Linked DNA regions of Ovis aries. The protein of the gene in region 1 interacts with the protein of each later gene in a pairwise test. Links are inferred from orthologs where the notes say so. Each region holds a gene or a part of one and is shown on either strand. Other genes may lie near its edges.

Evidence for each region.
Region 2: the proteins of LRP2 (region 1) and MAPK8IP2 interact in a two-hybrid assay, tested with the Homo sapiens proteins (2 studies listed by BioGRID). The link is inferred for Ovis aries from reciprocal best matches to the Homo sapiens genes LRP2 and MAPK8IP2.

What each region holds. Positions count from the first base shown.
Region 1 is NC_056055.1:140,232,302-140,235,860, forward strand, and holds part of LRP2 (low-density lipoprotein receptor-related protein 2), read left to right. Parts: coding exon 1-26; intron 27-662; coding exon 663-958; intron 959-2,596; coding exon 2,597-3,113; intron 3,114-3,559. UniProt on the Homo sapiens protein: Multiligand endocytic receptor. Acts together with CUBN to mediate endocytosis of high-density lipoproteins. Mediates receptor-mediated uptake of polybasic drugs such as aprotinin, aminoglycosides and polymyxin B.
Region 2 is NC_056056.1:225,848,148-225,852,223, reverse strand, and holds the start of MAPK8IP2 (C-Jun-amino-terminal kinase-interacting protein 2), read right to left. Parts: upstream 2,808-4,076; 5' UTR 2,801-2,807; coding exon 2,736-2,800; intron 1,776-2,735; coding exon 1,670-1,775; intron 373-1,669; coding exon 88-372; intron 1-87. UniProt on the Homo sapiens protein: The JNK-interacting protein (JIP) group of scaffold proteins selectively mediates JNK signaling by aggregating specific components of the MAPK cascade to form a functional JNK signaling module.

The DNA.
Region 1 (3,559 bases):
GGCTTGTGTATCCCCAACCACTTCAGGTGAATTGGGGATTAAAAAACTTATTAACAAACCTTAAATGTCCATGAGGCAGGGCTGGGGCCCATGATACTTTTCATGGCCTCTGAAAATGTTTGGACTTCTTTTAAAATCAAAAGAAAAAAAATAAAGAGAACTTCAAAGAAAATATTTACATACTAAATAATAATATATATGGCTTTATACCAACGTAGTCCTTAAATATAATTTTAAATATTTTTATGGAGGAAGGGGCCCATGAAAACAGAAGTGCCTGGGGTCCATGAAGGTCATAACGTGACCTTGCACAGAAGATCAGAGAGATGAGTGAAGTGGGCTTAGTAGAAGAAAATTCTTTCTTGAGGCAGCTGACGCTCAGGGTTTGCCACCTGGAATAGAGGCATGGGCGTAAGAAATACTTCATTCAATTCTTTCTGCTATAAGAAAAGTACCAGTGAGCAGGATGATAAATGGGGCTGCATGCTGTGGCTCAGGGTCAGCCTGACAACAGAGAGAGGCAGGTGAGGTACACTGTGGGTGTGTGCTCCAGCTAAGAGACACAGACACCAGTCAGCATCATGTGTTTGGAGAGAAACTGGGGATCTGGATTTTCACCTGAAATATTCTGATTTTAAGTGGTACTGGGTCTCATGACACAGGTGTGACCGGAACAATGACTGTGGTGACTACAGTGATGAGAGGGGCTGTGTGTACCCTACCTGCGGCGAGACCCTTTTTACGTGTCAGAACGGACTCTGCATTAATAAGGCCTATGTCTGTGATGGGGACAATGACTGTAGAGATAACTCTGATGAGCTGGAGCACCTCTGTCACACCCCAGAGACCACATGTCCCCCTCATCAGTTCAGGTGTGACAATGGGAACTGCATTGAGATGGTGAAAGTCTGTAACCACTTCCCTGACTGCTTAGACAGCAGTGATGAGAAAGGATGTGGTGAGTATAATGGAAAATTAGGGAAAAGGAAATGGGGGGACTGAACGTGGATTCTCAACCCTTTCTGACTTAGTAGGACCTTTCAGTTGGTTCTCTAAGTAGCACACTGCCAGAAAATTACTGCTGTTTGTCTATGAAGAAGCAAGGATTTCTTGGTCTATAAGGTCGGTCACACACATTTTTCGACTAATCATCAGTTAGTCATTCATTGTAGAGAATAGGAGATAAACAAATTAAGGCCATCTATCTAAGAGCAGACAGTGGTGATCATGCAATGACTTGTTGCTTTAACTGCCCCTCCTACATTCCTTAATCTGTTCTTAATTTTCATCCTGAGGTGACTAAAGGGGAAGGTTTAACTGGAAGTCCCCCTCCCACCGTGCCCCTAACCCCACCCTGGTTGTACTAGTTGTTAAAACTATTGGTGAAGGATCCAGGAAGGAAGTTGAGTAAGAGTGACTTTTGAATAATGTAGGGCCTTTAGAAATCCCTTTTTATGTCCCTGTTTATTTGTCTTTTTTAGCATGATTCATTAAGAACTTCAGTTCAGTTCAGTTCAGTTGCTCAGTCGTGTCCGACTCTTTGCGACCCCATGAATCGCAGCACACCAGGCCTCCCTGGCCATCACCAACTCCCAGAGTTCACTCAGACTCACGTCCATCGAGTCCGTGATGCCATCCAGCCATCTCATCCTCTGTCGTCCCCTTCTCCTCCTGCCCCCAATCTCTCCCAGCATCAGAGTGTTTTCCAATGAGTCAACTCTTCGCCTGAGGTGGCCACAGTACTGGAGTTTCAGCTTTAGCATCATCCTTCCAAAGAAATCCCAGGGCTGATCTCCTTCAGAATGGACTGGTTGGATCTCCTTGCAGTCCAAGGGACTCTCAAGAGTCTTCTCTTAACACCACAGTTCGAACGCATCAATTCTTCAGCACTCAGCCTTCTTCACAGTCCAACTCTCACATCCAACATGACCACAGGAAAAACCAACCATAGCCTTGACTAGACGGACCTTTGTTGGCAAAGTAATGTCTCTGCTTTTGAATATGCTATCTAGGTTGGTCATAACTTTTCTTCCAAGGAGTAAGCATCTTTTAATTTCATGGGTGCAGTCACCATCTACAGTGATTTTGGAGCCCAAAAATAGTCTGACACTGTTTCCCCATCTATTTGCCATGAAGTGATGGGACCAGATGCCATGATCTTCGTTTTCTGAATGTTGAGCTTTAGGCCAACTTTTTCACTCTCCACTTTCACTTTCACCAAGAGGCTTTTTAGTTCCTCTTCACTTTCTGCCATAAGGGTGGTGTCATCTGCATATGTGAGGTTATTGATATTTCTCCGAGCAATCTTGATTCCAGCTTGTGCTTCTTCCAGTCCACCGTTTCTCATGATGTACTCTGCATAGAAGTTAAATAAGCAGAGTGACAATATACAGCCTTGACCTACTCCTTTTCCTGTTTGGAACCAGTCTGTTGTTCCATGTCCAGTTCTAACTGTTGCTTAAGAACTTGGCTCGGTCCAAACCCAACCAAAAAAAAGAACTGCATCTGTCCAGCGGGAAGGCTGACTTTTTTGACCATTATGGTGGGTCCATTACTGACAACTTAGGTTCTCTGATAACTGTCTTTTACCTTACAGGCATTAATGAGTGCAATGACCCTACGCTCAGTGGTTGTAACCAAAACTGCACAGACACCTTAACCAGTTTCTATTGTTCTTGTAACCCTGGTTACAAGCTGTTGTCTGACAAGAGGACTTGTGTTGATATTGATGAATGCAAGGAGACGCCCTTCATCTGTAGCCAAAAGTGTGAGAACTTACCTGGCACTTACATCTGCAAATGTGCCCCAGGCTACATCCGTGAGCCAGATGGAAAGACCTGTCGGCAGAACAGCAACATCGAGCCTGATCTCATTTTTAGCAACCGTTACTATTTGAGAAATCTAACTATCTATGACAATTTATACTCCCTCATCTTGCAAGGATTGGGTAATGTTGTGGCATTGGATTTTGACCGAGTAGAAAAGAGATTGTACTGGCTTGATATAGAGAATAAAGTCATTGAGAGAATGTTTGTGAATAAGACAAACAGGGAGACAGTCCTAAAGCACAATCTACCAGGTGCGGAAAGTCTGGCTGTCGACTGGGTTACCAGGTAAGAAAAAAGCTATTTAAAAGTTAACAAGTTTTTGTTTCTGAAAAAGTGTTCTAGCCAGGCTTTCATCTTAATAGGGAATTGATCTTTCCCACTTGGGTTGCCAGGTAGAAACACTTTAATGCTTCGGCATGGTTTGTTTTTGTTGTTGCTGTTTTCTGGTGTGTACCTAATAATCAAATGGGATACCACAAAATCTAAAATCTAGTGACTTTTAAGAATTTATGGTATGAATTTTATGGGGGGGCACATCACAAAGGAAGAAAGAGCTCTGTTATTACTGGAGGTATGTGAAGGGATGATTCATGCTTTGGTTGGTTCAGTCATTTAAAGCTGTTGCCTAAGTGCGATGCTATTCTAGGGACTGGGGTTTGGAGGTAAACAAGACAGACACAGCCCCTGCTTTCCTGGAATTCACAGGCTACTTAACAATGCTAGTCATTCCC
Region 2 (4,076 bases), on another chromosome or scaffold:
CCTCGCGGGCAGGAGGGGGCAGGTGGCCGTGGGCACCAGAGCCCCCCACGCCGGGAACCAGGGGGAGCTCTGGGCCTGGGAGCTCACCTGGGCTCCAAGCGTTGTCAGGTGGAGGGTGGTAGGTCGATGCTTGTGAGGCTCCTCTAGGGAAGGGGAGGGGATCAGGGGCTCCGGGGCAGGGGTCTCTGAGCCAGGGCCTCCTCCCTCCTTGCCCTCCCCCTCTCCTTCCTCCTCGTCCTCCTCCTCCTCGTCCTCCTCCTCCTCTTCTTCCTCCTCCTCTTCATTGTCGTCAATCATCTCGAACTCCTGGAAGTCATCCTGGAAGGAGCAGATGGGGTGCGGCTGCTCCGAACGCCCCAGGGCAAGGCTGTCCTGCAGGAAGAAGGACAGGGCAGAGCTGGGCTGCAGCAGGACAGCGGCCTGGGGTCCCAGGTGCCAGGAAAGGTGAAAGCAGGAAGCCACAAGTCAAGGGGGGAAACCTCCCTCCAGACCACTCTGCTCTCCATCAACAGAGCAGTTTTTGATTTTTGCTTTTTTTAAAATCAGCTTAAGATACATAAGGATCTTGGTAAATAAGAGCCCAAACTCCTAAGTCTCAGTGACAGATTCTCAAAGAGGCCCCAACCCACCTGCCAACCTCATCCCACCCTCAAATCCCATCACATTTAACACCAGTACTTTTTCCTTCACAGCATTTTAACACAACTCATAATTAACCGTAGAGTTTGCATCTGTCTCCCCAGCAAGCTGCAAGCCCCACCAGGACAGGGACATGTCCATATTGTACACTGCGGTACCCCGACCCCCACCGAGAACAGGCCCTGGCCCACATAAAAGCTCAGTAAAGATCAAATGAACGCGTGAAGCAAAGAGGCCCAGCACCAGGTTTCACCAGACTTGCACCAACCTCAGGGCCTGCAATCCACTAATCCCCCGCCAGCAATTCCTCTGCTCCATCCCCTCCGGTACACTGCCCTCATCTGCCAGCTCCTGCTAGTCTTCCCTAAGGGCATGGCCCTGCATTTCCACTAGAAAATCTCCCTAATGGCCTCAGTCTCGGGTGGGCCATGTGTCCCCTCATTGGAACCCAGATGCTGAGGCTCAGGCACCCATTGTCTCTCACCTGTCTTCCTCCCCTACTAGGTTATAAGCTCCCAAGGGCAAGAGCCACACCTGTCCTGCTGTCTTCCCAGGCACCTGCAAGCCTCTAGCACTTGCCACACGGGAGTTGCTCAGAAATGTTCTTGAATGAAAACAAAAACGTGAAGAGCCAGGGAGGAGGAGGAGATGGGGGAAGGGGAACTTCAGGGGAGGAGACAGGAGGCTAAGAGAGGCTAGAGAGGTGGGGACAGGACTGAGAAGGAGATGAGATGGCAGCTGGAAGGGGGTAGATCTGAGGCCAGAGGGCCCAAAGCAGAGGCACTTCTTCCCTCCCCAAGTCCAGCCCATGGAGGAAGCCAGGCAGGAACGCTGGGGAAGGTCCTCAGTGGGCCGCTCTTAGGAAGAGAGGGGTCAGGTATCGAGGGGCCCACAAGTCAAGAGGCCAAGGGAGAGGGGGCACTGAGAGGATCCTCTCAAGGCTGAGCTTAGACCCTCCCCAGAGACCGCTGAGCAAAAGCTAAGTGAGGCTCTCCTGTGAGAGAGTTCTCTGCCCCAGCCCTCTCCCCACCTTCTCGCAGTGGTCCGAGTCATAGCTGAGGCCCAGACCGCAGTCATCAGTGATCTCAGACAGATCTTCATCGTCAAATTCCTCCAGGCTTATGTCCTGAGGAGGCCTGGAGAGGAGAGCAAGGACAGGGCTCCTGAGAGAGCCGTCAGTCCTGGACTCCCTGTCTGAGAGCTGGTCCTAAGGAGGGGCCAAGGGAGCCCCCCACCCCAGCTCCTCGACCCCACGATCTCCAGAGCCCCCAACTCCCACACAGGCATCCTGCCATTATCCTGAAGCTTAAGCCCTGCTCTCCAGGGCATTTCCCCCACAACTGGAGCCACCGCCTGCCCTGAGGAAGCACTTGCCCCCAGCCCTCCTCCCAGTCCCCTCATCAGAGCCAGCAGCCTCTCCTCCCACTGCGCTCAGCTCCAGGCCCCTCTGGGTCACAGCCTCAGCCTCAGGGGAGTCAGGCTGAGCCGAGAAGGGGGAGGGGGACTGAAGCTGCAGCAGCTGGGGGAGGGGGAGGGGGAGGGGTCGAGCCTGCTCCGGAGCAGAATTCAGCCCCTCTATCCGCTATTCCTGCCCAAGACCGGCCTACATCCCAAGGTTCAGCCCTTTCCCCACCCTAGTCCCTTCCCCCAGGCTCCAGGCTTGATTGCAATTCTCTTCCCTGAGCCCTGCAGACCAGGCCAGGCCTCCACCAGAGGCCCAGCAAGGCCAAAAAGGACACTGCCAGGCAGAGTGTGTGCTCAGCACCCCGCAGGCAGGCTGCCCCTCAGGCTCGGCCCATGACCTCCGCCTTTGGAGGAGAGGCTCAGGTTGGGTGCAGCACCGGGTCCCGTCAGGAATCTGGGGTGGGGGATGGTCACTGGGGCTGGAGGAGGGTCGTAAGGGGAGGACAAAGTGGAGAGGCCTGGAACCAGGAGTGGGGGATGGGGAGCAAGTGGGCCTCGGGACCTGAGAGGGTCTGGGGCTCCGGCCCCCAAAGGCGTTGGGGGTGGGGTGGCAGGGTCGGGCCGGCGGAGTCTGGGGCGGGGTCAGAGGGGGAGCGGTGGGCAGGGAAGGGCCCGGGCGCCCGAGTGCGTACCTGCAGCCTGGCGGCGACAGCGAGTGGAAGGTGGAAAGAGAAAACATCTCCGCCCGATCCGCCATCTTCTCCGGGGAAAGGCCTGCCGACCGCGGCGGGGGAGGGGTGCCCGGAGCGCCAGCCCCGCGCGCCCTCCGTCGCTCCCGCCCGCCCGTCCTCAGCCCGCCCCCGGTCACCTCGTGACACGCCCTGCGACACCCCGCCGCCAGCACACCTCGACGCCAGGACACCGCGGCAGCGCGAGCCGGGGGCGGGGGGACCGGGAGCAGGGCGGGCCGGGGGAGGGGAGGAGGGCGGGCCGGGGGAGGGCGGAGGGGACGGCGGGGAAGCTGGTTGGAGGAGGCGAGATGGTTTGACTGAGGCTCGGGTTGGAGAGGCGCGTGTGTGGCTTGGTTCTTTGGGGTGGGGGCAGGTGGGAAGCAATCTGGTGGGGATGGGGCATCAGTTCGCGTGGTGAGAGCTTCAGCGAGGAACTGGCGATGGGAAAGTCGATTTGCAGACCCCTGGTTAGCTGGTGTGGGGGTGGGGGGGACGGGGCCTCATGGAGGGGTGGGTGCGGCCCCGGGAGCTGCGCTAACTTCCAGGGAATCAGAGCAGAAGCCTGGGGTTCCCAAGCCCGGATCCGAGTGGTTCAGACTGACAGTGTGGGCTGTGCGCGAACGGGGCCGGAGGAGCTGTCCACGTCTGGGTGCTGACCAGGGCTGGTCGGAGCTGTCCCACAAGGGGTGCTGACTGGCCCACAGAGATGTCTCCCTAAAACGTGCGGCCTGGGGCTGCAGGAGCTGTTTCCCCGCCGAGTGCTGATCAGAGCTGGAGGAGCTGTTCCCCCAGAGGGTGCTGAGCGGTGCTGGACAGAGGCATCTGCCCAAGGGGCGCTGATCCCGTCTGGACAGAGTTTACCACACAGAGGATGTTGACTGGGGCCCACATGGAATTTCAGTACACAGTACAGATTGCGCAGGCTGGATACCAGGTATTGATGGACATCAGGTGAAGTTATAACCCTGAGGCTCTCTTCATTCAATTAGGAAAACTTTCTTGAGCACCAACTAGGTAACCAGCATGTTCTGGCTTTTGTGGAGCTGTGTGTGGAGAGAAATGGTTGACACTCAGCTCAAGGGGTGAGGATCAGCTGGTGCTGCAATGGGGGAAGGACAGGTCGGAGTCGTGAGTATGGTTATTAAAGACAGGTTGGAGGACCAGGTTAGGGAGACTTTACGGAGAAGATTGGGCTATAGAAAGAGGCTGGAGTTTCAACAAGGTTGCAATGAAATCGTTCTTTTCTTTGCCTTGATGGAAATTATGTATCCTGACATTCTTTGTCTAAATTTTTTCTGTGGA